Diceros bicornis minor: one gene and its partners. The protein of the gene in region 2 interacts with the protein of the main gene of each other region in a pairwise test. Links are inferred from orthologs where the notes say so. Each region holds a gene or a part of one and is shown on either strand. Other genes may lie near its edges.

Region 1 (7,613 bases), on a different chromosome or scaffold from region 2:
AAATGGCCAATAAATCTATGAAAATACACTCAACTTTACTAGTTATCAGGGAAATGCAAATTAAAACAACACCTATGTAAGATGATAACATTAGGGTAAATGAAACTGGCTGAGGGGTATATGGGTACTCTCTGCAATATCTTTGCAACTTTTCTGTAAATCTAAAATTATTCCAAAATAAAACGTTAATTAAAAACAACAATACCCTTCACATCTACAAAATTTTTTGTCTGATAATACCAAATATTAGCAAGGATATAGGGAAAAGAGAAAGAGAGAGGGAATATTAATTGTTAAACTACTTTGGACAGCAATTGGACAATACTTATAAAGTTAAAGATGCTCATAGCTTTTGACCCATCAGTTCCACTCCTAAATGTATATACCCTGGAACAGCACTGCCACTAGAGGGTAGCCACTAGCCACATGTGACTACTGAGCACCTGAAATGTGGCAAGTCCAAAATGAGATATGCTTTAAGTATAAATAAAATACATACTGGACTTCAAACACTTTGTAAGAAAAAAAAGAATGTAAAATATGTCATTAATAATTTTTGTATTGATTACATGTTGAAATGATAACATTTTGGATATACTAAGCTAAATAATTTGTAATGTTAAAATTAATTTCATCTGTTTAAGCTTTTGTTAATGTGGTTACTCGAAAATATAAAATTATTTGTGTTTGCACTATGGTTCAATGGGACAGTACTGCCCTAGATCCTCACCCACTAGTGCTCAAGAAATAAATCAATTTAGTTGGTCATAACCAGCATTTTTTAATTAAAAAGCATAGAATAGAAAACATCATAGTGCACTGCGTGTAATAAGGGTAAGACTGTTTCAAACTTTTGCTATGGTGTGTATGTACTGGGATGTGATGTAAAATATATTTCCTTGCCATGAGTGGTAGTCAGAAATGCTTGAAAGCTCCTGCTAAGCTCTTGGAAACACAATGTTCATTGTAGTGTTGTTGTTATGTAACAGCAAATATTTAAAACAACTCATATGTTAAAACAACATATTTGAAACAACAACAAAGGAGATTGGATAAATAAATTGTACTTCTATTCAACGTAATAGTTCTAATCAGCAGGGCAAATAAATGAACTAGAGCTAAAATATCCATATGGGTAAATATCCAAAACATAATGCTGAGCAAAAAAAGGCAAGTTACAGAAAAAAATCATACAAAATGATACAATTTATGTAAAATTTTCAAAGATGACTAACCGGTGCATCTAATCTTCTAGTTCTTTGAAACAATGAAATACCTGAAGCATATGACAAACTGTTAAGATTCAACAAAACTTACTGGTAGGTATACAGGTGTTCATTATATTATTTTCTATACTTTTCTGTGTGCTTCAAATATTATATAAATACAAGGGCTCAAATACAATATACTTAAAAGTCATAATCCTTATTCCATGTTTATATCTTTAAGATACCATATCCTAAATTAAAACATAAGGTAAGAGGTAGTGGGCTTTGTTGCTGTTGTGCTAAAATGACAAGAATTAACAAAATATTGACCTAAACATTTTTAAATCATGGATTTGTAGCCACCCTGGCTACACATATGTCATTATTATATGAATAACGTGAAATATATATGAATGTGAATATATGAATGTGAATGTATCACAGGTCTAATCATGTACCCAGAAAAAAAGAAATAGTGTAAACATTCCCATATCTGGCACGGTTGAGGAATCTCTTGTTCTAGTCAAATTGCTTTTATTAACAATTACCATAAATACCATACAGAGATTACCAATTTTCAAAAGAATTAAGATACAATAAAATGCAGTTAAACCTAAAACTATACAGGATATAATTTATTTTTCACTGATGATTTTGGAAAGGCACTCCAGGATCTTGCAGTAATTTTTTTAATGTACATTTAACGCAGTAGATTTCTATTTCAGATTAAACCAATGTTAATTTGCATGCAATAAAAATCCTGAGAAAACAAGCTATGAATTGTGAATTCAGTTTCCCTACACTAGCATATAAAAGGGTTCCAGTGTCTTAAACATCTACATTGTTTTTCTGGTACACAAATAAGAAAACTTGGAGCTATGGATACTCCAAAGAGATAAAATTCAGAAACAAAATACATTTAGAAGATTTTAGATAAGGCAGCAAACAGTTTGACATTTTCTTTACTACCATGTAAAGCTATATACCTTTAAAGTCCATGAAACGAAAATCAACATCGTCCATTTTTAAATCTCTGGCTCAAGCCTATGAAATAAAAAAAAATTTTAATCTTCTGTCCTTTATCCTCCAGTTCCTCAATAAATTTCTTTTCAGTGAAATTTTTCCAGTTACCTGTTACCCAAAGGAAAAAAAATGCTGAAGAAATTTTAAAACTCAGAAAAAGTAGTTAACGAGGGGTGGGGCCAGGAGTCATGTCACAGGAATCTGGCTCGGAGGAAATTTTCATCCCAAATCTTTTCTTACCATAATCCGCCTGGCAACCAGGAAACCAGGGTACCCTGTGATTTGTCTGGCTGGTACTCGTTGCCTCCTCCTAATTGGTTCAAAATCCCTCTCTCCACCGCCCATACATTCAAAGCACCCAATCACTCACTGGCCTTTTTCCCGCTCTCACAGACCCAGCTAGCGCGCCTTCAGCTCCCCGCCCCCAACAGTCACCAACCATACGGCTTCAACGGAATGTAGGTCCTTCACATCCAAACTACAATAACTACTGTCTCCCGCTTTCAATGACCCCACAATGCGCCCCATACTTCATCCAAGTCAAAAAATCCTGCCTCTGCCCATCTTCTTTCACCTGAGAGTCAGCTACAGCAGCTCTGTGGTTCAAAATCATTGCCTCAGGGCCACTCTAAAAAGTGTTGACCTAATGGCCGCATCTTCTTGCTAGTTATAAACCACTCAACTGACCCGTACCTGACCCTCCTCTAGCCCTTCCTACCTACTAAATCAGTCACCTCAGCCGGGACCGCCAACGTGCCACAGTGCTGTCTCCACAAACTCCGTCCACAGTGCCCGACGACGCTTGGAAAGCTCCTCCCCCTACAGTGACGTCAATCAAAGACCACTTCCTATTGGCCTTTACTGTCTATCTCACATCGCGAGCCTAAGCCTTGGGGCGCAGTCTAGGCCTTCAATCCTGGGGATTAGTTCAGAGGGCAGGGGTGAGAATCACTGAGCGTAAGGAAGTATGGTGCAGTACTGGAAGCATACTACAATTATTGAGGGAAGAGTGCAGATGGCCAGGGTTATGGGAAAGAGGAGAGCAGGCCTTCAAAAGAAAGAAAAGGGACGTAGGGACGAGGGAGAGGAAAGAGGAGAGGGGAGGGAGGGAGGAAGGAAGGAACAATGTTGCCCACTGATTAATCGTGAGTGGCGAAGGTCAGCAATATCAGAAGTTGAGGAAACTGAAAAACCCTGTAGTTCCAAGACATGTTTCTGCTGCCCTGTCCTTGTCAAATCCGAAGGAAACTAACTAATGACTCCTCTACAGGCTCACAGCAAGGGCAGGGGTCCCACCCATCTCCAAACAAATGGTTTTAGGGATGGGGATGGAATATGTAAGTAAACATGTTTGATTCCAGCTGAATCTATAGGTGATGCTTGCAATCAAGGAGTTGGCCTCTACTTTAAAGCTCCACTCAGAGACAACAGTGTTATGGCATGATGCCTCCAAATATGGAGAAGCACCAAAAACAAAAAACATTAACAAGCCTCCCACTTCTTCCCTCACATACCCCTCTTTTAAGCCTTATGCACCTCAGTCAAGTCAGCTAGGGAACTGGCTAACAGGATGAAGAAGAGAGATTGTGGCTTCAATTCTGGGAACATTAACAGAGTTCCCTTCTGACCCTAAGACTCAAAATCAGTGATTATTTATCATGGAAAAGATGGAGTTTCTAAAAATAATTTCTTTCCTTCTTCAAAATTTTCTGCATCTAGATCACATAGAGTGAAGAAAAAAGGGAAAACAGAGAAAGTACTGCTATTAACTTCTCTTCTTTTGCATCTTGCAATTTGGTATTCATTTCACAATCCTAGATTGCTAAATTAGAGGAAGAAGTCTGGTGGAAAAGGGCAGTAGAGTGTCCCATAGCTGACTGAATCCTCATGCACCGCATACTTTGTGACCTGGTGCTAGCTACTTAGAATCTCAGGACCTCAATTTCCTCTTCTGCAGAATGGGAATAAAAGTAGTTCTAGGCTTCTGGTTCAATAGAATAGTGTACATAAATCATCTAGAACAGTGGCTGGCATATAGTACATACTTAACAAATGTTAGTTCCCATTATCGTTCCCCATTTCCTGGTTGGCAAACTAAGGGCTCCCAACTTTCATCATCCCACCCAGGCCCCTGGCTCTACCATAACTTCTTTGTTCATGGATGAACAGATGAACAAATAGGGCGATAATTAGACCTCAGCTCTCAAGCCTGCAGTGGTCTCTTCACACACATCTTAGAGCTCTTAGTGATTAATAATGTCTGTAGTAGAATGGATATTATATTATCCAGGATTATATAAGGCATACAGAATCAAATGACTCTATTGATTAATACTGACTGTAAATATGACTCCAAAGTCAGAGCTACTGAGCAGGCACCACTGCATTGAAAGGGCCAGTGAATAAAGGAAAATATGCAGAAAGGGTGGAAACCCTTATGTTGTATGAGTATCTCCAATATTTTTGTTTTTGATCTAGATGGCCTCCCTAGATGCTATAAGAAAGAGAGAATTAAAAGGACAGAAAAAAAGTAAAAGAGAGAGAGAGAAGAGGAAAGGAGATAATAAAAGAAGCAGGTGCATATTGAGGAGGATATGCAAGAGTGAGTAGTAAAATGCCATTAAGAGGCATTCAAAATGCCGTAGATTATCTTCCCTTACCCTAGCATAAACTATAAATTTCCTGCTCCTACCTTTTGAAAAATTGAAGCAAAAATGGTGAAATAGTACATAAGGCTGGTGAACAGCTTGGAATCTAATGAGAGCTAATTAAGATTCTCATTAATAGAGTGGATTAAAAGAGAGTAAGCAACGAAGAATGCAAATTACTTAATAAGGTAGCATTATATCTTGTTAAAAGAACAAAAACACTTTCAGCATAAATATGCAATTATAGTCAGGAAAATTATAAAAACAAAAGCAATAATAGAGTAAGGGACAGGGGCTTGTTATACCAGACATTAAAACTACCGTAAATAAAATTGTGTGGTAATTGTACAGACAGATAAATGGAACAAAAGAGAGTCCAGAAACAGACCCAAATATATAGAGCAATGATTCAAATCACTGGGGAAAAGAGTTACTCACGAAAAAGTATTGAAACAACTGGATAGTCATTTTAAAAAATAAAACTAGATCCCTGCCTCACTTCACATACCAAAATAAATTCTAGATTAACCAAAGATTAAACTGAATCATAAAATTTCTAAAAGAAAATATGAGTGAATATTTTATAAACACAAAGGCAAAATATAAACACTATCTGAAAACCAGAATCAAAAAGGAAAACTAATGATGTTTTACAAGATTTTATTGCAACTTTTTTTACAAGAAATTATTGCAACTTTTCTGCATGGCAATTTGGCAATATGTATCAAAATCTTAAATGTGTGTACCCTGTTACCAGACAATTCCTCTTCTAGGAATTTTCCTAAAGAAGAAATTGGAAAAATTTGCGAAGACAGATTAACAGAAACATTCGCTGAAGCATTGTAAACCCCTTAAATGTTCACCTAGTTAAATGTGGCCTAGTTATACAACTTAGGGTACATTAGTACCAGATAGTGGAATACTTATACAGCCTTTAAAAACGTTGCTGAGAAAACAATCTAAAGGTATAAAGCTAGGGAAATGCCTATATCCTACCATTAAGTGTAAACAAGAAAAAAGTTAGCAACTACTCAAAAAGGTATAATTATATAGATTTGAGTGACTAAAAAACTCTTGGGATTGTTTCCACCTGGGTGTGAATAGGGAGCGACATAAGTGGCTACAGGAGCCAACTAATCCCACTAATACGTAATCGTAAAAAAAAAAGTTTATACAGAAGGTATACATTTATGTAAAATTGTATGCATATTTGAAAAAAAAGTCTGGAAGAATATTTACCAAAATATTTACAATGTTTATCTTTAAGTGGTAGGATTTGGGAAAATCTTTACTTTCCTCTTTATATTTTTCAGTTTCCTACAATGAACACATATTTTTATTAGGAGAAAAAAAGCTATTTTCATTAAAAAATCCACAAGAAGATGAGGGCGTTTTTATCTGATGGGCATGTGTTTTCTCAATAAAGTATGAGGCAAAGTCAATAGCAGGGAGTAGGAGGGAGAGATTTGAAGAATGTGAATAAGGTAAGAAACAGTTGTTTCAGAGAGCAGGGGAATCAGAGAGAAATGAGGATTTCCAGCAGTGTTGAGGGTTGATGATCATTAACCTGCCCAGTGGTGTGATTGCCTCCAACAATCCTGAACTACACAGGTGCAAGTATGGAGAAGATACTTGGATTCTCTGCTTTGTGGCGGGAATACTCTGGAGTATTGCCTAGGGAGGTGAAGATATTTGCAAGAGTGATAATGATAATAAATTCAGGAATTTAAGTGGGAAAGGGAGCAAGCAAAGATTGGAGGAAACTGATAAAAAGAGAGAAAGCATATGTAGGAGGGGGAAAGTGAATTGGAGGATTCATGAAGTCAAAGAATTGTTGCAGTGGGGTTACTTGAGCAAGTGAGCTGGGGAAGCTCAGGAAGTTGTGCGTAGAGAACTTGATGCTTGAATTAGTGATTTCAGAGGTGTAGATTCTGGCAAGATCTAGGGTATAACCATGTGACTGGGTAGCTGAGGTGTAATTCATTGAACCAAATCAGAACCACTCTCTCCTTCACATACTCTAACACTCTTACCCACACACTTCTCCTTCAGTTGTAGCCCTTAGAACTAATGGCTTTCAAGAGTCTGACTGGAATTTACTTTTCCTGCCTTATTTTTCCACTTCACCCCTTCAAAATCCTAGGCTCTGGGCAAACTGAATTATAAACTTTTCCGTCTTCTTGCCTTTGTACATAATGTTCCCTCCTCCTGTAATGCTCTCCTCCCGTTTGTGAAATTACACATTTTACTTAGCCTTTAAGCACCAGCTTAAAAGCCTCAACATCCAAGACTTCCCAGAACTCCCTGCCAGAACTCCCGCACGGGAATTCTCATGGTACTTCATGCATACCTCTCTTAGGACACTTATTATTTTCTACTTTGTATCTTTGTACTTATTCGGGCCAATTTTATCTCTGACTTCTTGAGGAGATTAAGATTAGACCATGCCTAAAGCAATTTTCTACTTCATCTTCAAGCATAGTGTCCTATATTCACTGTGTTGACTACCTAAGTGTTTTCAAAGTGTGGTATATATGATTATTTTAGGTGGTGCACAGCCAAACATTTTTTAATAGTTGGATATTTATTTTAATGTGTATTAGGAAAATACTTTGTTTTCTATTATGATAGTGGTGAAATATTTTCTTTTAAAAATAAGTGTATTTAAGGGCTGGCCCGATGGCGTAGCAGTTAAGTTCGTGCGCTCTGCTTCGGCGGCCCTGGGTTTGCAGGT
Region 2 (6,864 bases):
CTGCTCCCTACCTGTTTGTGGTGCCTTTCAGGGGACCCCTTGACAAGGCAGCTGCGGCTGAGGCGGAGGTAGCCCCCCAGAACCAAGATCTCCTCGGCAGTCGGGTACCGCTTCTTCCCAGCCCCGGGGACTGCAGCATCAGCTGTGGCAGGGGTGGCTGGTGTGGCGGGGGCTGCAGGGGGCATGGACCGCCGGGGGTTGACTGTGAAGGTGTGTCCACTGCGGCGGGGGGCCCCCACCCCTGGCCCTGCCTTCACTCCATAGAACAAACGGCTCATGAGGGGATCCCCAGGGGGCTGGGGGGCAGGTGGGGCTGGGGGTGGGGGAGACAGAGGGGCTGCTGGTGGGGGCCGGAGTTCCAGTGCTTCCTCTTCCTGAAGTTGAGAGCCTCCAGTCCCGGCCTCCTCCGGTGGGAGGGGGGAGGGTGCAGAGTAGCGGTTCTGCAGGGCGCTCAGAGGCCTGCCCTGAGCCCCCGCCTCCTCCTTCTCAGCCTCCCCATCTCCAGCCTCTGCACCAAGAGGCCCCAGATGCTTCTCAGCAGACTCTGGAGGTTCTGGTTTCTGAGTTTGAGTCTCTGTTTCCCTGGGTGTCCATTCTCGAACCTTCCCAGAGTTCAGGGTCCATTTCCACCCTTCTGTCAGCCTCAAGCCCTTCTCACCATCCTCCACAGGGCTGGGCCTCTGCTCTGCTGCCTCCACTCCTCCAGAGCTGCTGTCTGGAGCCTCTCGTGTCAGAGTCTCTGAGAGCCCTGTAATCTCTTCTGGGGCCATCCTTGGAACTGGCCTGTCTTCTTTTCTCCCACATTCCTCCAAGCAGTCTTTTCTTTCTTCTCCTGTGCTCAGCCTCCACTCTGAAGCCTCCAGTTGTACCAAATTCTGTTCCTGAGACTCTCTAGAGTCAGATCTCCATTTATGGGCCTCTGTCAGGCCCAACTTTTGGTTATCAGACTCTGCTGGGCTCAGTCTACTTTCCACCATCTCTTTTCTCCTGGGGCTTTGTTCTTCAGGCTCTGCCAGTCTCAGACTCCGCTCTGGAGTTTCTCCAGGGCTCAGCCTCCATTTCCGGGCCTCTGACAGTCTGGAGCTCCTGTCTCCAGCCTCTCCTGGGCTCTGCCTCCAGTCCCGTGCCTCAGAAGGCCTGGGACTCGATTCTCGGGCTCCCCCTATCCCCAGCCTCCTCTCTCTGGCCTCCCTGGGACTGAGCCGCTCTTCTCTTGACTCTCTTCCCATGGGGCTCTGATCCCGCATCTCCCCAGGGCTGGGTCTCCGCTCCCGGGTCTCCAAAGGCCCAGGCCTTCTCTCTGCAAGTAGCTCTTCACTCCGCTGCTGCTGCTGCTGGCGCTCCTGCCGAATGAATCTGTTTTGGTGCACTGGTCCGATGGCCTCCAGGAGGACGGCAGACTCATCTGGGTCCGGAGGTCCAGCCTCTGTAGTCCCAGGCGTAGGGCTAGGCTCCCCAGGAGACAGACCAAGCTTGGCCCGGCGGCGCTCCAGGAGCCCCCGCTTCCAGGCTGGCATCTGGGACAGCCGCTCCCGCTCCGCCTTCTCCCGGCCACGAACAGCAGCCTCCTCCTGCCGGCGCCGGGCTAGCAGCTGTAGCTTCCAGTCCGGAATGGTGGCCATGGTCGCCTTGAGGTGAGGATGAGGAGCACTGGGGGCAGAGAACAGGAAGGAGAGGCTCCAGAGAGGCCCAGGGGGTGAGACTGGGGGTGGGGGGAGAGGAAATGGAGGGGGAGAGGTGGTACACAGAGAAGGGCAGAGGAGCTGAGGGTGAGGACAGTGGGAAAGAGGGAGAAGAGGAGGGCAGAGAAAGGGGAAAACCAAGAAAGTGCAGAAAAAGCTGTGAGCCAAGGTGGTGGTGGTGGGGGGTGTGGTGAGAGGAAGAGTAGAGATGCAAGGCAGAGGCACCAGTCAGATTTGGCAGTAAGGGGTTAAGGGGTATCAGAGACAGTCTCAAGGATGTGGGAAGAGAGAAGGACGAAAAGAGAAGCTGGCATGAGGCAGAAGAGAGAAAAGAGAGGCTGGGGGTGAGGGGGGACAGGGTTCAGGCGAGGTTGCCTCACCGCCACCCCAGGGGCGGTGAGGGTGGGCAGGGAGGTCAGGGAATGCTGCCGGAGAGGGGGCAACGGGACCTCAGGCAGTGTTGGGGAGGTCAGGAGGGGCAGAGTGGAGAGGTCTAGGGGAGAAGGGGGAGTCAGGGGGCAGAGGGGAGAGGGAGCTCCGCGGCTGCGGGCTGGCGCGTCTCGGCGCGGGCCCCAGAGGTCCGGCTCCCCTTCCAGCCCGGCTGGGGCCACGCCTCTCCGGCCCCAGCCCCCACCCCTCCGCCCGGCACTCCGCCCCAAGGCGGGTCAGGGGAAATACCCTCCCCCGGGGACTTTCAGAACTCGGGTGTCTGGGCTGCCAGGACGTTCCCAGAACCCTGGCGTCCACCGTCCCCTGCCCCCAGGACCGTCACCACCGCCTGTCTCCCCCACCGGCTGTGTCCCGGGACCCAGGCGCGGGGAGGACCGGCTCCACGCCTCTTCTCTCCCGAGCCTGCGAGTCCTGTGCCGGGGTCCCGGCTCTCATGGCACCCTGACATAGCCGGCCATCCCCACCCGGCTCTGATCGCACAGACAGACAATCTCGGCACAAAGAGGAGACAGCCCAAGGTGTCCGGGCCAGGGACGGGAGCGGGGACAGGAGGGAGGAGACACCCCCTCCCCAAGTCTGAAGCCCCTCAGTCAACTCACATGCCGCGGGACTCCCAGGGGAGGGGGTGCGGAGGAGCCTGGCGTCCGGAGAGAGGAGGAGAGAGGAAGAGGAGGAGAGAGGGCTCGAGGGAGATCCGGAGACAGGAGGGAAGGGAGGAGGGAGGGAGGGGAGGAGGGAAAGAGGGAGCCGAGGAGGAGGGACGGAGACAGAGACCTGGGGGCCGGGCAGGGGGCGGCGACCGCTTTGTCTGAGGACAATGGGGAGAGGGAAGGGGGCGCGGGGCGGAGCCCGAGGAGGGGGCGGGGCCTCGCTCCCTCCGACCCCGCGTGGGACTCCGCCCCCGGACTCCCCGCTTCGCGCCACAACCCCTGGCCCCCAGTGCTCTGTCCCTAGGGCCTCTCACCCCGCTCTCACCCGGTAGCCCTGAAGAACCCAGGTGTCCAGACCCCCGCCCCCACCTCGCCGACCCAGGGCGGCGGCCCGTGACTCAGGCCCCTCGAGAGACTTAGGGAGGAAGCAGCAGCTGCTCCGAGCCGGGCCCGCCCTTCCCATCTCCCGCTGCTCCTCCCCACGCTTTTGCCTTCTCCGGCCCGCCTTTGTTACTGCGGGGTCCAGGGTCTCCGCCAGGCGGCGGGGGGCCCGTGGGGAGGCGGTGGCAGGCGGGGCGCTTGCAAGCCGGGCGCTTTGGAAGCTCGCTCCCCTACCAGAGCCGCTGCCCTACTCTTTTTAGCTTCAACCTGTCTCCCATGGATCCCCTGGTCTACAGCAGAGAAATTGGGAGATTTGGAGGAAGGGGGACTGGGCCGCTCCGGGAAGGTAGGGGTCGGTCCAAGGCGAGTGGTCGCCACCCAGCGGTCGCCAGAGGGCGCGGTGGCTGCCCAGTCGAGTTCGGCGCGCCCAGGCTCTGGCTCGCCTTCCTTCCCAAACTCAGCCCTGAAGCTTGAGAGACACTGACAGACTGCATGCCATGTGGAGAAAAACCAGGCTCAATTTTATTTTCCTGAAGCGCGTGTTCCTCTGGAGAACAGGGAGCCCTTAGTCACCCGAATTAAGAGGGGGAGCATCCTCAACTAGGTTGAGGACGGAGCCCAGAGGCGGGGCCTAAGGAGGTGGAGAAGCCACCCAGTGGGGCCGCCCTGAGATGCAAGGCATGGAGCCTGAAGGGGCGGACACCACCATCAAACTTGCAGACCCGGGTCGAGCTCCTAGGGAAGCAAGACGTGGATAAGGGGATCCCTGAGGCGCAGAGGCAGTAATAGTGCCAGGGGACTGGTCAGGCCAGACCCTTCTCCTTGTGAGGAGGTTGTTAAGGGGGGGCGGGAGGCAGGGGGGTGGTTTAAGACCTAAACTGTGAGGAGACAGGTAAGTTTCCTAACCCTTCTTCCTGGCTGGTGAGAAATGGACCTTGGAGTCCAGTGGCGGAAACTCAGAATTTAGGGTATGGAGCGGGACTCAGGGAGTGGAGTCTTAACCAGAGGAAGGGACAGCCCCTTTCAGTTCATAGATTTGGGCCTCTGGTCTGAAGCAGCCAGGGCCTGGATGTTAAGGGATTTGGAATTCCACAGGGAGAGGAAATACAGGGCTTGGAACCAGGGTTAGCTCCTCATTCGGCCTCCGCATCCTGGGGCCGGGAGAGCAAGCGGAGTTTTCTTTGCAGCTGGGCCCGGAGGTAGTGGAGGTCTTGCTGGTCAAGTCCGTGAGCCAAGCCCAGGTAGACGGTAAGGAGGAGAGCAAGGAGGAGGCGGTCAGTGCCCAGGGTGGGGACCACCCACAGAACTGTCAGCAGCTCCACGCACACTGGGTGACGCAGGTGGGAGAAGAGTCTCAGAGCCCGGGGAGACTTCAGGGCCAGAGGCTCGCCCAGCCCCAGCACATGGTAGTACACCTACGAGAGGGGGAACAGCTTAGAAATGGAGTCAAGCCCTTTTTGCAACTTAGCCGCCTCTTTCCTCCCCTTCCAGGCACCCTCCTATAAGTCAGGCCCAGGAACCACCCTTCTGAGACTTGGGCCCCTGACCCTCATCTCTGGTTCATGAACCTTCCCCAAGCCTGGGAGGCCCATAGCTTCTGGCCTTTGAGGGAGGGCTGAGGGGTGACTGTCTTATAAGAAAGAGAAGTGAGGAAGTTGAAAGCAAGAGGAAGGTGGAAGAGCATGGGAGGAGGAGGAAGGAAATCATTGGAAGGGAAAGAGGTGTTCTAGAAACGATCAGAGGTCTCAGGTAGGGATCTGGGAGCCTCACCTGTTTGAGGCCCATGAGCTCAGCGTAGTCAAAGACGAGAAGGATGCTGAAGATGAGGAGCCAGGAGATGACGTGGAGCACAAAGCAGAGGAGGGGCACCCAGGTGGCCCATGGCTCAGCCCGAGCCTCCCACAACACGGGGCCTCTGGGTACAGGTTCCCAGTACCGCATCACCAGCTGGGGAAGGATGAGGGACTGGGTATCCCAGCAGCTCACCCTCGAGAGACCTAGACCCAGATGCTGCCTGCCACCCCCACCCCAGGGTGGCCTGCAGCTCTCCCCACCTCTACCATGAGCCTCACCAACAAACATCCACCATGTGGAGGGTGCTGGGTGGGGTTCTAAGGAGGTAAGGATGACCTGTCTCTACTCAGATGATTTACAGAACAGATGGGGGTGACCAGATAGGTACACAAAGTAGCCTATGCCAAGCACCCAATGAGAAAACAGGTACTAAGTGGGAAGCCTTCTCTTGAGACCTAGGGAAGTGGTTTTGAAGAAAGGGCAGGACCAAAGAGGAGTTAACAAGGGGATCTCAAGCAGGACAACATGAACAAAGTTGCAAAGGTGAGAATGCACATATTGTGCTTGGGGAATGACAAGCAGTACACCCTTCTTGATAAAAAGTAGAATGTGTGCTGTGGAGGAATGGAAGCTGAGATTAGTGTCCTAACACCCTCAGTTCTCCTAAACCCACATTTTATCAGAAGCCTAAGATCCTTGCCCCTCCAACCTAGGGCATCCTTCCCACATACTCTGTTTCCCTTGGGGACTCAGCTGCCAGAGCCTCATACCTGCAAGGCCAGGGCAGTGCATGCCACATACAGTGACCTCTGAAGGACCCCAAAGTACCGGGACATCCACGCCTTCACTGTCTCAGTTGCCATGAGGCTGTGCTGCCCCACAAATAGTAGCAGGAGCCCCAGATCCCAAGCCAGGGAGGCAAGGATGCTGTGGTCCTGCAGGGCAGCCAGCCATCCTTGGCGGGCATCTAGGGGGAGTTGGAGAAAGGGACAAAAGATCAGGAAGACGGTGGGAAACACTTCCTACCCTCATCTCTTGGGGCCTCAGGCCATGTCCCTTAATGCTTTCAAGAGCCTTAATGCTTCCTCTCCAGGCTTTCCCCACCTCGCTTTTCCATTCCCTGTTTCTTCCCTCTTCTTCAGGTCTCCTTCAGAGCTGGGGAAGAGGATTCATGTTGGGTAGTCACAAAGGCATGGCTGGAAAGGCTACCATTGGATTGCCCCTCTTATTTCGGTTCTCCAAATGCTCCCTGTTTTTAACATTCTCCTCTCCATAGTCCTCTCTACAAAGCACTTTCCTTAGAATACTCTGCTTATCGCCCTTTCCCTCCCCCTGAGTCTTCACTCTCCCGCCTCTCCAAACCGCTAATCCCTGAGCTCCTAATTTAGCCCTCTGGTCTCCCCGGCCGCTTCTCGGTGGCTTTCACGGTTCTAGTTCCCTCTCCGGACTTCCCCTGTCATTTGTCTCCAAGCCCCGCCCCGCTCACTCGTCTCCGGCCCCACCTCCCTACCCTAGAGCTCATTCTCGACCCCTCCCGCTCACCCGGACCACCAGACTCCGGGATCCCTCCAAGAAGTGGCCGAAGGGAGGTGAAGCGCACGAACTCCACTCCAGTGCCAAAGGCCAGGATGAAAGAGGCGAGGGCAGCAGGGACCAGAAGCAGTGCAGGGGCCATGGCGAGAAACCGAGGGGTGGGGCAAGGGGCGGGCTCGGGATTCCCGCTGCCGCAGGCCCCGCCCCCGGCCCCGCCTCCCGCCTGGGATCCTGCCCAGGAGGGCGGGGCTCTTGCGGGCCGACGCCCCGGTTTCCGGCCGCCGCGCGCGGTTTCTCCCACCAGGCCGCAGGGCCTATACCCCTACTCAGGAAGGCTCAGGCCTTCCTGAGCCTGCAGTTCTCGCGTCACAGAG
Region 3 (7,936 bases), on a different chromosome or scaffold from region 2:
TGACATAAAGAAATGGAAAGATATGCAATGCACATGGATTGGAAGAATCGACATAGTTAAAATATCCATACTACCTAAAGCAATCTACAGATTCAATACAATCCCAATCAGAATCCCAATGACATTCTTCGTGGAAATAGAACAAAGAATCCTAAAATTTGTATGGAACAACAGAAGACCACGAATAGTGAAAGCAATTCTGAGAAAAAAGAACAAAGCTGGAGGCATCACAATCCCTGACTTCAAAATATACTACAAAGCTATAGTAATCAAAACAGCATGGTACTGGCACAAAAACAGACACACAGATCAATGGAACAGAATTGAAAGCCCAGAAATAAAACAACACATCTATGGGCAGCTAATTCTCAACAAAGGAGCCAAGAACATACAATGCAGAAAGGAAAGTCTCTTCAATAAATGGTGTTGGGAGAACTGGACAGCCACATGCCAAAGAATGAAAGTAGACCATTATCTTACACCATATACAAAAATTAACTCAAAATGGATTAAAGACTTGAAGGTAAGACCTGAAACCATAAAATTCCTAGAAGAAAACGTAGGCAGTACACTCTTTGACATCAGTCTTAGCAGCATCTTTTTTGTTTTTTTTTGCTGAGGAGGATTCGCCCTGAGCTAACATCTGTGCCAATCTCCCTCTATTTTGTATGTGGGTCACTGCCACAGCATGTCTGCCAATGAGTGGTGTAGTCTGCACCCAGGAACCGAACCTGAGCCACCCAATGGGAGCACACTGAACTTAACCACTAGGCCATGGGGCCAACCTCTTAGCAGAATCTTTTCAAATACCATGTCTACTCAGGCATGGGGAACAAAAGAAAAAATGAACAAATGGGACTACACCAGATTAAAGAGCTTCTGCAAGGGCCAGCCCCGTGGCTTAGCGGTTAAATGCACGCGCTCCGCTACTGGTGGCCCAGGTTCAGATCCCAGGCGTGCACCGATGCACCGCTTCTCCAGCCATGCGGAGGCCACGTCCCACATACAGCAACTAGAAGGATGTGCAGCTATGACATACAACTATCTACTGGGGCTTTGGGGAAAAAAAGGAGGAGGATTGGCAATAGATGTTAGCTCAGAGCTGGTCTTGCTCAGCAAAAAGAGGAGGATTAGCATGGATGTTAGCTCAGGACTGATCTTCCTCACAAAAAAAAAAAAGAGCTTCTGCAAGACAAAGGAAACCAGGAACAAAACAAAAAGACAACCCACCAACTGGGAGAAAATATTTGCAAATCATATATCCAACAAGGTGGTAATCTCCAAAATATATAAAGAACTCGTATAACTCAACAACAAAAAAACAATCAACCCAATCAAAAAATGGGCAGAGGATATAAACAGACATTTTTCCAAAGAAGGTACAGATGGCCAACAGGCACATGAAAAGATGTTCTACATGACTAATCATTAGGGAAATGCAAATCAAAACTACAATGAGATATCACCTCACATCTGTCAGAATGGCTATAATTAACAAGACGAGAAATAATAAGTGTTGGAGAGGAGGTGGAGAAAAGGGAACCCTCATACACTGCTGGTGGCAATGCAAACTGGTGCAGCCACTATGAAAAACAGTATGGAGATTCCTCGAAAAATTAAAAATAGAAATACCATACGATCCAGCTATCCTACTACTAGGTATTTATCCAAAGAACATGAAATCAACAATACAAAGAGATCTATGCACCCCTATATTCATTGCAGCATTATTCACAATAGCCAAGATGTGGAAGCAACCCAAGTGCCTATCAACTAACGAATGGATAAAGAAGATGTGGTGTATACATACAATGGAATAGTACTCAGCCATAGAAAAGAAAAAATCATCCCATTTGCAACATCATGGATGGAGCTTGAGGGTATTACGTTAAGTGAAATAAGCCAGACAGAGAAAGACAAACACCACATGATTTCACTCATATGTGGAAGATAAACACATGCACAAAGAGAACAGATTAGTGGTTACCAGAGGGAAAGGGGTTTGAGGGTGGGTGAAAGGGGTAGAGGGGCACATATATATGGTGATGGATAAAAATTGACTCTTGGTGGTGAGCATGATGCAGTCTATACAGAAACTGATAAATAATAATGTACACCTGAAATTTCGCAATGTTATAAACAGTTATGACCTCAATAAAATAGTAATAATAATAAAACATATATCCACACAAAAACTTGTACACAAATGTTTTAGTAGCATTATTTATAATAGCCAAAACATGAAAACAACTCAGATGAAATGGGAAACAATGCAAATCAGCTGATGAATAGATAAACAAAATATGACTTATCCATACAATAAAATATTATCCAACTCTAAAAAGGAATGAAGTACTGACAGACTACAACAGGGATGAAACTTGAAACCGTTATGCTAAGAAAGAAGCCAGTCACAAAAGACCACATGTTATATAATTTCATTTATATGAAATGTCCAAACAAGAAAACCAATAGAGACAGAAAGTAGATTAGTGGTTGCTCAGTGCTGGTGTAAATGAAGGACTGCAGGCAGTGATAGCTAAAGAGCTCAGGCTTTCTTTTTGAGATGATGTAAATGTTCTAAAATTGACTATGGTGATTGTTGCATATATACGCAAATATACCAAAACCATTGAATTACACACTTTAAACAGGTGAATTGTACGGTGTGTGAATTATGTGTCAGTAAAAATATTACAAAAGTAGTTAGTATAACACATGGCAGTTCTGAGCTAAGAAGAAAGCAGGGGCTTTGAAGTCCAACAGTTTGTGTTAATCTAAGTCCTCCAAAAAGCAGGTACCAGATGGGATTAAATTTGCAAGAATTTTATTAGGGGAAACACCTGTGTGAGTTAAAATAGGGAGACAGATAGGAAAGGCTGAGAGAGCTGTCTTGTCATGATGCAAGTCTCACACCAAGTGAAGGAGGAGAGGAGGGAAGGTTTGGAAGAAGCATCCTAGACTGCCATGCCCCTTAAGAAAGGTTTGGCAAAGCTGCCAGGGTTTGGCAAGGCTCCAGCCAAAATTCGCCATCAGAGTAGTTTTGTGTCAACCAGAAATGGATCTGCCTTAGTATCTTTGCTACACTTTGTCATCCGATGGGAGATGTCCATGGGAAGCATGTCCTCCATGCAAATATATCGATGGATTTCAGACTGCAGCTGAAACCTCTGGTCAGTCACGCTCCCTGTAGTTGGATATCTACCACCACATCCTCATGGCCATCACGCACACTAAGGTTCAAATCCCAGTTCAATGACTTACTAACTATGTGACCTTGCACAAGCTCCTCTCTCTGAGTCATAATTTCCTTCTCTGTAAGAGGGGGATAACAGTAGTGCCTACCGCATAGGGTTGATATGAGGATAAGACAATGTGTATAAACTGCCTAGCACACAGTAAGCACTCAACAAGTAGTAGCTACTACTAGCATTGTATTTACTACTACGACTATTTCTTCCTAGATTTTACGAACTTCCATTAAAAACAGTGGTTATCATTGTCTATATATAATGAGTATTCTGTTTACTTAACATCATATTGTAAATCTTTTTCCACGTTATCATTTGCTCTCACTAAATATTTTAAAGGCTGCATTATATGCTATAGAGTGTACATATCCTAGTTTACTTAACCATTCTCCTAATCATTAGGCCTTTTCAAAAATTTTTTTGCTATTTTAAAAAATTTAGTGGTGGACATTTTTATATAGAAAAAATTTTCCCCTGTGTTTGAGATACTTCCTCAGGGAAAACTAGATTAAAGAGTGTGAATATTTTTTGTTGTTGTTGTTGGCATATTACTCCTTTACTAGAAATTGTAAAAATATGGAACGCTTCACAAATTTGTGTGTCATCCTTGCACAGGGGCCATGCTAATCTTCTCTGTATGGTTCCAATTTTAGTATATGTTTAGTATATGGAACTCTGTATAGTTCCATATTTCAGTATCTCATGCCGAAGCGAGCATGCGAGTGTGAACATTTTTTTGCTAGGAAAGATTGGCCCTGAGCTAGCATCTGTTGCCAGTCTTCCTCTTTTTTTTTCTCCTCCCCAAAGCCCCAGTATGTAGTTGTAAGTCACTGTAGTTCTTCCGTGTGAGCTGCCACCACAGCATGGCTACTGACAGAGGAGTGGTGTGATTCCATGTCTGGGAGCCAAACCCAGGCCACTGAAGCAGAGCTCACTGAAGTTTAACCACTAGGTCATCAGGACTGGCCAAGAGTGTCAACACTTTTAATGCTCCTGATCCATGTTGCCAAATTTTCTCTCCAGAGAGGTGGGGCCAGTTTACATTCCAACCAGCAGCATATGAGAGTACTCACTGCTCCCTTACCCTGCCTTGGGTATCATTTTTATATTTTTAAATATTTGCTAACTGGAAAGTCAAAATGACATCTAATTTATTTGTTCTCTGTTACTCACAAGGATGGACCATTCTCTAAATGTTTTTGTACAGGTAATATTATATACAAAAGTAATTATTTTGTGACTTGTCCTTGCATGGTAAACTATTAAGATCTTAATTTTTTTAATTAATTCATACAATTTGCTTAATAATAATTGCCTGACACTTCCCATTATTTTCCCTTTCGAGGTTTTTTTTTTAATGTATAGGAGTCTATTGTTAGTCAAATCTATTTATGTTTCTTTTGTCATTTCTTCTGTCTCTTTTAAGCTTAGAAAGCCCATCCTCCTATAGAAAGCAAACTTTTCTTTACAGATAGTTCAAAGTGAAACCACAGCCCAGCTGCTCAGATAGTTTAAAAAAATTGTGAATGAGCGGAGCCCAATCTAATGACTCCCTCCTACAAGGCCATCTCAGAAACGAAGTTTTCTTCCTCTTTTTGTGTTCCAGCACCCAGAATATCCGCTATTAACCGTCCAGGAAGGATCCTTCTTGTGCAAAGGTGCTGCCCAGGTCCTCCAGAGCTACAATGGAGGAGGAAGCTGGGGGGGCGCCGGCAATGCACAGGTCTACTGCCTCCAAGAACTTTCACTTTTATCACATGGATCTGTATGACTTTGAAGACAGACTGCATATCTTCCCAGAAGAAACCACTCGGATGAGAAGAGAAGTAGTCCAAGCTGAAATGACCAGTGAGCCAAGAGGGGCAGCGAAAGGTAAGCCTCAAAAAGAACTTGAAGAGGAAGTGGATGAACTTGTCCATTTATATGGACTTGAAGATGATCACGAATTAGGGGATGAGTTTGTTGATGAAAACATGCCCAGAATAGAGGTTTCAGAATATCCTCCTTATGGGATGATGAGGAGAGAACCAGCCGGGGAGCAGAGAGACTGGAGACTTAGTGGAGAGGCAGCTGAGGCAGAGGACCCAGGCTTCGGAAGGTGGGGCTCGGCAGGCCAGTGCCAGGACTTGCGGGAAGCCTATAGGTACACACGTGGCCGTGCCAGTGAGGAGTATGAATGCTACGTCATCCCAGAGGAGGAGGATGAGGAAGAAGCTGCTGACGTCTTCTGCATCACTTGCAAAACTCCAGTAAGAGCTTTGGAGAAGGTTTTTGATGAACACAAAGAGCATGAGGTGACCCCACTCAATAAAGCACTGGAAATCGCCAAGGTAAATAGGTCTCCTTGGTTCTTCTTTCTCTGGATATTGCATTTATATCTCAAATGTGCAGGCAGGGAATAAATCTAAAATGCCTTCTACAAAAGAGAGAGAGAAAAGATGTACCATTAACATCTTCTTGTGATCCTCTGTTGGATAGGATGAAATTCACAAAAATATGTACAAATTGGAAAAGCAGATTATCGAGATGGAAAATTTTGCAAGTCACTTAGAGGAGGTTTTCATCACTGTGGAGGTAAGAGCACACTTGATGAGCCCACCAGACACACGTGGCTTCCATTAGTGGCTGGGTCAGCAGCTGTGTCTGATATGATTTGGAGAACCTGCTTTCTTAGAATGGGTGGCGTCACTACTGCCCCTCTCCCCTCACTCCTTCCCCTGCCCTCCCATGGCACCTTGGGTATATGCCTCAGGGCACCCACCACCTGTCAGCAATCCCTACTCAACTAGAAGCTCTCCGTGGGAGACTGTGTCTTCTGTGTCTATATATCCCCAGTCCTACTACAAGGTAGGACTCTTTCACGCGCCAGCCTTGACAAGGCATTGCAAAACACCTATTCTGTCATTAATAAGTGTGCTTTTCCTCAGCTGTTATCTATTTCTCACAAGATTAGTAAGTTTCTGTGCCTGCCACCAAACATGTCACAGTCCCCTGGGTGGACCTAATAGGTATGTAGTATACCGCTGTGATGCCAGCACTCAACCTGACCCTCCAGATGAGGTATACCGAGACTGAGGACCAGGGGACCGTCTGTCTCCTCTCTCTTCATGTGGATGCTCTAATCCTATTCATGCAGCCTCAGACTGTATCAACAGGAGCACTCCATATGAATTAACTAAGCCCCAGGCCCCTTTCCCGTGAAGCCTCCAATCTGAAAAGGGAGGAGAGCTATTGCACTAATCCCCTATGGAAGGCAGAGAAGGGACAAGCCCTTCCCCTTCCAAGCTTAGGGTAGTGCTAGGAGGGGTCAGTGTGCAACAGCCAGGACAAAACTCCCTACACTCTGTACTGCCAGCTCACTCTCAGATCAAAGTGTCTTCACCTCAGTGAGGACTCTGAGATCTTCCTTTTACACTTAACTCAGGGAAGTTGTCTACCGTCTTTCCCTCTCTTCCACCATTCTAAGCAAATCTTACGCACATAGTAGGCGCTCAGTAAATACTCCCTGAGTGATTGATAAGAGCCCCTTCTTTGGAAAGTCCCTGTTATGGGTGAGGATGACATCAGTCAGAACCCGCAGAGCTCGCCTGGGCTTCCAATCTAAGGAACAGGGACCAGGAATCCATATGCTCTGACTAATATTTCTCATCCATTGTGCTCCAGGATTATGTACGGTCTCAACCCTCCCTCTGTCTTCCTGACTTTTCTCATCTATTAGGCAGCACCATCTGGCCACAACCCTTATTCCCCTTCCCCTTCATCTTTCTCTTAGTTGATATGAGAAAGCAGTTGATATCTCTCAGCAGATATGAGGATCTGCGTGATCCTGGTGTTTGTATAATCCAAGCATTGAGGGGTGGAGGTGAGTGTCATGAGATGTTGAGAGCTCAGGAGGGAAAGATAAGTGGGAATCGCCCAGAGCAAACATCTTCATATTAAGGTCCAAGGTTCCAGTGACAGGCTGACTCATTCATCACTGATAATCTCCCTGGTTGGTTGTCATGGTGATGAAAGGTGGCTAAAAATGGAGTGAGGAGGACGATTGCAAAATGCTGCCAGGAGAGAAAGCAGTGCTTTTTGTTAAGATTATCCCTGAGGTTCTAGCTGGAGACTCCTGGGTCCTAGCTCCCCCAGTGTCCATCACAGCATCCTGGCAAGAGATAAGACTACGTGGAGGGACTAAAATAGCTACAATATAGATACATTTTCATGCCCCAAATGACTCTGTTGTTGACACACCAGATGCACTGAAATGATGACTGAGGGGAACTGTCTTGCAGGAGAATTTTGGAAGACAAGAACAAAACTTTGAGTCACATTACAATGAGATCTTGGAAACACTTGCTCAAAAATATGAAGAAAAAATACAAGCTCTAGGGGAGAAAAAGAAAGAGAAGCTGGAAGCCTTGTATGGACAACTGGTCATCTGTGGAGAAAACCTTGATACCTGTAAAGAACTGATGGAAACAGTAGAGGAGATGTGTCATGAAGAGAAGGTTGATTTCATCAAGGTCAGTAATGAAGTGAAATGAAATATTGAACTGAAATGACAGTTATAGCTGGAGTAGCTTAGGTTGTTCCTTCTTCACCTGGAGGTATTGGAATTGCCTTTTATGGTCAGAAGCCATTTGGTTCGACTCGATATTCACGATGGTGAGGTTGTCACCTCCTCTTTCTGCACAGCT
Region 4 (6,960 bases), on a different chromosome or scaffold from region 2:
ACCACTCGTCCGTATTGGCCATGCTGTGGCAGTGGCTCACATACAAAAAGAGGAAAATTGGCAGCAGATGCTAGCTCAGAGTGAATCTGCCTCAGCAAAAAAAAAAAAAAGAAATAAAAAAGGAGATGTTACAACTGATACCACAAAAATACAAAAGATTATAAGAGACAATTATATACCAACAAATTAGACAACCTAGAAGAAATGGATAAATTGCTAGAAACATACAACCTACCAAGACTGAATCATGAAGAAATAGAACATCTGAATAGATCAATTACTTCTAAGGAGATTGATTCAGTAATAAAAAACCTTCCGGCAGACAAGAGTCCAAGACCACGTTGCTTCACTGGTGAATATTACCAAACATTTAAAGAATAATTAATACCTATCCTTCCCAAACTCTTCCAAAAAATAGAAGAGAACACTTCCAAACTTGTTTTACAAGGCCAGCATTACCCTGATATGAAAACCAGACAAAGACTCTACAAGAAGAGAAAATTACAGGCCAATACCCCTGATGAACACAGATGCAAAAATCCTTAACAAAATATTAGCAAACCAAATTCAACAATACATTAAAAGGATCACACACCATGATCAAGTGAGATTTATTCCAGGGAAGCAAGGATGGTTCAACATCCCCAAATCGATCAATGTAATACACCACATTAACAAAACAAAGGATGAAAATCATGACCATCTCGATGCAGAAAAAGCATTTGACAAAATGCAACATTCATTCATAATAAAAACTCTCAACAATGTGAGTACAGAGGGAATGTACCTCAATATAATAAAGACCATATAGGACAAGCCCACAGTTAACATCATATTCAATGGTGAAAAGCTGAAAGCGTTTCCTCTAAGATCAAGAACACGGCAAGGATGCCCATTCTCTTCACTTTTATTCAACATCGTACTGGAAGTCGTAGCCAGAGCAATTAGGCAAGAAAATAAATAAAAGTCATACAAATTGAAAAGGTAGAAGCAAAAGTGTCACTATTTGCAGATGATATGATATTATATGTAGAAAACCCTAACGAATCCACTAAAACACTGTTGAAACTAATAAGTGAATTCAGTAAAATTGCAGGATACAAAATATGCATGCAAAAATCAGTTGCATTTCTATACACTAATAACAAACTATTAGAAAGAGAAATTAAGACAACAACCCCATTTACAATTGCATCAAAAAAAATATATCTAGGAATAAATTTAGCCAAGGAGGTGAAAGATCTGTTCACTAAAAACTATAAGACATTGGTGAAAGAAATTGAACAAAACACAACTAAATGGAAAGATATTTCATGTTCATAGATTGAAAAGAATTGATATTGTGAAAAGGTCCATACTACACAAAGCAGTCTACAGATTCAATGCAATCCCTATCAAAATTCCAACACCATTTTTCACAGAAATAGGCCACATAATTCTAAAATTTGTATGGAACCACAAAAGACCCCAAATAGCAGAAGCAATCTTGAGAAAGAACAAAGGTAAAAGCATCACATTTCCTGATTTTAAACTCTATTACAAAATTATAGTAATGAAAACATATGGCATTGGCATAAAAGCAGACACACAGATCAAGGGAACAGAATAGAGATCCCTGAAATAAACTCACACATATATGATTAACTAATTTATGACAAAGGAGTTAAGACTATACAATGGGGAAAGAACAGTCTCTTCAATAAATGGTGTTGGGAAAACTGGACAGCCACATGCAAAAGAATGAGATTGGACCCCTATCTTACACCATGCCCAAAAATCAGTACAAAATGGAGTAAAGACTTAAACGTAAGACCTGAAACCAGAAAACTCCTAGAAGAAAACATAGAGGGTAAGCTCCTTGACATCAGTCTTGGCAATGATTTTTTGGATTTGACACCAAAAGCAAAGTCAACAAGGAACAGCCTCAGTGGCCTAGTGGCTAAGTTCAGCTCACTCTGCTTCAGTGGCCCAGGTTCGGTTCCTGGGTGCGGACCTACACCACTTTTCTGTAGTGGCCATGCTGTGACAGTGGCTCACATACAAAAAGAGGAAGATTGGCAGTGGATGTTAGCTCAGGCCGAATCTTCCTCAGCAAAAAAAAAAAAAAAAAGCAAAGTCGACAAAAGCAAAAATAAACAAGAGGGACTACACCAAATAAAAAACTTTTGCACAGCAAAGGAAACCATCAACCAAATGAAAAGGCAACCTATGGAATGGGAAAAATATTTGCCAATCATTTATCTGAGAAGGGGCTAATATCCAAAATATATAAAGGACTCATACAACTCAATAGCAGAAAAACCAATCTGATTAAAAAATGGGCAGAGGAACTGAATAGATATTTCTCAGAAGAAGACATGTAGATGATCAACAGGTACATGAAAAGTACCTGTGCTCAACATCACTAATCATTAGGAAAATGCAAGCCAAAACCATAATGATATATCGCTTCACACCTGTTAGAATGGCTATCATCAAAAAGACAAGGGCTAATAAGTTTTGGCCATAGATGTGGAGAAAAGAACCCTTGGGCACCGGTGGTGGGATTGTAAATTGGTGCAGCCACCATGGGAAACAATATGGAGGTTCCTCAAAAAATTAAAAATAGAACTACCATATGATCCAGCAATCCCACTTCTGGGTATATATCCAAAGGAAATGAAAACAGGACTTCGAAGAGACATCCACACTCTCATGTTTATTGCAGCATTATTCACAATAGCCAAGATATGGAAACACCCTAAATGTCCATCATCAAATGAATGAATAAAGAAGATATAGTATATATATGTACAATGGAATATTACTCAGCCATGAGAAAGAAGGAAATCCTGTCATTTATAGCAACATGGATAGAACTTGAGGGTATTATGTTAAGTGAAATAAGCCAGATAGAGAAAGACAAATACTGCATGGTATCACTTATATATGGAATCTAAAAAAAAAAAGGAGTCAAACTCATACAAAGAGAATTGAAAAGGGATTGCCAGGGGCTGGGGGGTGGGGGGAATAGGGAAGGTAGGTAAAAGAGTACTAACATTCAGCTATAAGATGAATTGGATGAGGATCCAGTGTAGACGTGGTAACTATGGTTGATAACACTGTATTATACAACTGAAATTTGCTAAGAGAGTAAAACTTAAATGTTCTCTTCAAAAAAAAAAAGATAAATATGGGAGGTGATGGATATGTTAACTAACTAGATGGTGGGAATTTTTTCACAATGCATACATATATCAAATCACCACAATGCACACTTTAAATATCTTACAATTATATTTGTCAATTATACCTCAATAAAGCTGAAAAAAATTCATGGATTGATGATTCAAGATGCATGTACTTTAAAAGGAAAAATCATAGCAACGATGATGAAGATCATTCAAATGAGTGTCTATTGTCTTCAAAATAAAGGGAATTGTATAGATGACAAGTGAAATACAAAATACCCCAATGCACATTTTAATTTTAGAACAAACAATTTTGGTTTCACTTCATCAAAACGATATTAAATCAATGCTGTTTATTTTAATATTATTAATTTTATAGTTTTTATGTGTAGATTGGTTTGGAGCCATAAGGAATTTATACCATGTTTATGTAACTAATATTGTATTTATATTATATTCAGCTAACAGAGTAGAAATAACCTGTTAACACCAGGTGCCGTATCTTCTTTTTCCTTGAAGAAGGGTCCACTCATTACTTAAGTTGGAAGGTGGTGTACTAGGACCATGAAAGAAATAAGGCGTGAATAGATTATGTCCCTCACTCACATTTGCACTGTAATCAATCATGAATTCCGATTTGGATGAGGGCATTTGTTTTGTAAATGTTTCTTTGTGACTGGGGATGTAGAGCTGTGGCAAAAGTTCCTGTTTCATAATTCACCTTTGCCCATCACCAACTTGTAGAAAAGAGGCTTTAAAGAAATCAGCTGGAGTGACCTGCTTTCAACACCCAGAGCCAGTGATGCAACGCCGTGTCAACTCCTGTGAAAGATTCCTCCTCATACTCGGGGCACAGAAGTAAGGTAAGGAGCTGTGGACTGACAGGAACATCTGTCAGCTTCTCCAAGGTGTCCTCAACAAGATCATCATCCCAAAGGCAGGTATGCTCAAGGAAAGACTGTCTGTTGAATCCGTGAGGTCACTTCTCAGATGTCGATCTGTTTTCACTGTATCACTTTAGTGAGTTCATCTTAAAAACATATTCATCATTTGAAACACGTTTGGTTTTTGTGGTGCCAATATTGTACTATTATATTTCCTTTAGGATCACGGAAGGATGCTGGCTGTGGTCCATGAACTCACAGGAATTATGAGCCATCTTTGAGGAGGGAATCTGTCCGTCTGAAGAGAGACCCAAAGGGAAATCAGACAAGTAAAGACGTGCAGCTGCAGCAAGGGGACAAAATGGATGAAGAGGAGGAAAAAGAGACGAAAACCATGTCTCAGCCCCAAAGTAAGGCTTTTTGGTATAGAAATACCTAGTTTATAAACCGGTAGCACAAATTCATCTACATGAACAAAATATTAATGTAAAAAAGTTTAGTCTATCTAGTGAAAATTACACTTGTTGAGAACTAATTTAGTTGTTCAAATTCAAAATCAATAATTAAAGGCTTATGACTAAACTATTGTCTGGAAAAGGCACTGCTTATTTGTTACATTCTGTTTATGCTTTTCTGTTTCACTATTAACAGTTCCGCAGGACAGCGTGATGGTGTAAAAAGGGGTTTACCAGAAGTGACTGTTGAGTAACAGTCTCATCTAAAAATACTTTTGCAACCTGTTATGCAAAATCACAGCTACAGAAAAATTATTAGGAACTGTTAAGCGGATCAGTTATACTATCTCTAGACCCAATTTTTCAGCCTGTTCTTTTTCAGGGAGAATGTTCAATTTGTATGCTTAGAGCAGCTAGTACATGCTCAACTTCAGGCCTCTTACAGCAAGTATGCCAATATATTAGAGGAAAGTTTTCACTTAACTGCAATTTGGGTTAGAATAAAAATACAACAGTGTCATTTCAGGAATTGCAGGCAGGGATAAAATGTAACTAACACCAAAATAGTGCAATTTCCACCACTTGTTTCCTACCCTTCCTTGTGTACCATCCACAGAAAAGTAAGCTTACTAAACAACAAGAAATTTGGTTTTCTATGAGAGTTATCTATTGCATTCTTTTCTTTCTTTTTTTTTCTTAGTAATTTTTCCAGGCTTACTTAGATTTTGACATTGCTCTTTGAGTGCAGGTAACAGGATAAAAGAAATCATTTGCTTTGGAAAGGTCTTATTTTTTGCTTCTTCTGTGGTCTTCGATGTTGTTCCCGGATTCTTTATTGATGGCTAAGAGTGCAGACTTCCATGTCAGACGCTGGGATTTGAACCTAGAGTCCTTTGCTTGCTGATGCAGGGACATTGGACGTTTACAGCTCATTTCCTCCTCTGCCAAATGGGGTTGAGTTGTGCACACTTCAAAAATTTGCGTTGAGAATTAAATTATATGAAAACATTAACACCATGCTTGGCACATTGTAACTGAACAATAAGTATTTGTTATCTTTAATACAGGTATTAGCATTATGGAGTTTGTACTTTTTTAATGATTTATGTTTGCTAATAATTGTACAATTAAATCTTGTGTTTCAAGGGTGGCTTAGTTTATCTGGGTTACATGTTATAACAAAAATACTCTAGACTGTGTGGCCTATAAACAACAGAAATTTATTTCTCTCAGTTCTGGAGGCTGGGAAATCTAAGATCAAGGTGCTGACAGAGTCAGTGTCTGATGAGAGCACGCTTCCTGGTTCATAGATGGCTATCTTCTTGCTGTGTCCTCACACAGAGGAAGGGGCAAGGGTGCTCTCTGGGGCCTCTTTTACAAGGGCACTAATCCCACTCATGAGCACTCCATCCTCATGACCTAATCACCTCCCAAGTCCCCACCTTCTAATATCATCACACTGGGGATTAGGTTTTAACATAAGAATTTTGGGGACACAAACATTCAGTGTACAGGAACGAGTTAGAAACTGTGTTCTCTGGTAAGCTGTGTACGTTGAGTAACGATGGCTTGTTTGCAGTACTGAAGTACAGATTTCCTCATACACCTGGAAGTAATTTTAAGTTATTAGCTATTGAAATATTTAAAACCATAAAAATTAACCTATTTACTTTAAAGTCTTATTTATATATTTCTGTAAATTACATTTTATGTAGAGAAGCTATATGCAAAAAGATTTACCTGTGAATTTGAGAATATTTTTCTAGTCTAAGTGTACTGAAGAAAAATTTATATAATATGATGTACAACATGGTTTCTTCATAAAGGTAACCAGTGGATTGAAATAAAGAGATGAGGGCTGGCCCCGTGGCTTAGCGGTTAAGTGTACGTGCTCCGCTCCTTGGTGGCCCAGGTTCAGATCCCGGGCGTGCACCGATGCGGCCATGCTGAGGCCGTGTCCCACATACAGCAACTAGAAGGATGTGCAACTATGACATACAACTATCTACTGGGGCTTTAGGGGGAAAAATAAATAAATAAAGTTTAAAAAAAAAAAAGAAGAAATAAAGAGATGACAGTAACATCAGGGAACTTTTTTTAGGAAGATTGGCCCTGTGCTAACATCTATTGCCAATCTTCCTCTTTTTCTTTTTTCTCTCCAAAGCCCCAGTACGTAGTTGTGTGTCATAGTTGTAGAGTTGTAGCTCTTCTACGTGGGACGCCTCCTCAGCACGGCTTGATGAGCGGTAAGTATGTCTGTGCCCAGGATCGGAACCCACGAAAGCTGGGCTACTGAAGTGGGCCGTGCGAACTTAACGGCTATGCCACCGGGCTGACCCCCAGGGAATATTTTTGTAAGGACTGTAGGTATAAAATTTTCAGAACAAGGATTTGGACGCTGTGCTCTAGCTACTAATTAAGAATGCTTGATCAGTTAGAGTCCCAATGTGA

What was found.
Region 1: the proteins of PPP1R18 (region 2) and TEX11 interact in binary tests that used the Homo sapiens proteins (3 or more experiments, as listed by UniProt). The two-hybrid records come from large-scale screens. The link is inferred for Diceros bicornis minor from reciprocal best matches to the Homo sapiens genes PPP1R18 and TEX11.
Region 3: the proteins of PPP1R18 (region 2) and FSD2 interact in binary tests that used the Homo sapiens proteins (3 or more experiments, as listed by UniProt). The two-hybrid records come from large-scale screens. The link is inferred for Diceros bicornis minor from reciprocal best matches to the Homo sapiens genes PPP1R18 and FSD2.
Region 4: the proteins of PPP1R18 (region 2) and STX11 interact in binary tests that used the Homo sapiens proteins (3 or more experiments, as listed by UniProt). The two-hybrid records come from large-scale screens. The link is inferred for Diceros bicornis minor from reciprocal best matches to the Homo sapiens genes PPP1R18 and STX11.

Annotation. Positions count from the first base shown.
Region 1 is NC_080781.1:64,217,800-64,225,412, forward strand, and holds the start of TEX11 (testis-expressed protein 11), read right to left. Parts: upstream 3,015-7,613; 5' UTR 2,966-3,014; exon of another isoform or gene 2,950-2,965; intron 2,928-2,949; exon of another isoform or gene 2,806-2,927; intron 2,464-2,805; exon of another isoform or gene 2,253-2,463; 5' UTR 2,232-2,252; coding exon 2,195-2,231; intron 1-2,194. UniProt on the Homo sapiens protein: Regulator of crossing-over during meiosis. Involved in initiation and/or maintenance of chromosome synapsis and formation of crossovers.
Region 2 is NC_080753.1:34,421,988-34,428,851, reverse strand, and holds the start of PPP1R18 (phostensin), read right to left. Parts: upstream 3,016-6,864; 5' UTR 2,732-3,015; intron 2,282-2,731; exon of another isoform or gene 1,651-2,281; 5' UTR 1,623-1,650; coding exon 12-1,622; intron 1-11. Other genes in the region: NRM (nurim), read right to left, coding at 4,297-4,578, 4,934-5,110, 5,728-5,924, 6,500-6,632.
Region 3 is NC_080744.1:95,273,972-95,281,907, reverse strand, and holds the start of FSD2 (fibronectin type III and SPRY domain-containing protein 2), read left to right. Parts: upstream 1-4,936; coding exon 4,937-5,581; intron 5,582-5,729; coding exon 5,730-5,825; intron 5,826-7,531; coding exon 7,532-7,762; intron 7,763-7,936.
Region 4 is NC_080778.1:23,344,930-23,351,889, forward strand, and holds the start of STX11 (syntaxin-11), read left to right. Parts: upstream 1-3,940; 5' UTR 3,941-4,033; exon of another isoform or gene 4,034-4,111; intron 4,112-4,275; 5' UTR 4,276-4,415; coding exon 4,416-4,464; intron 4,465-6,960. UniProt on the Homo sapiens protein: SNARE that acts to regulate protein transport between late endosomes and the trans-Golgi network.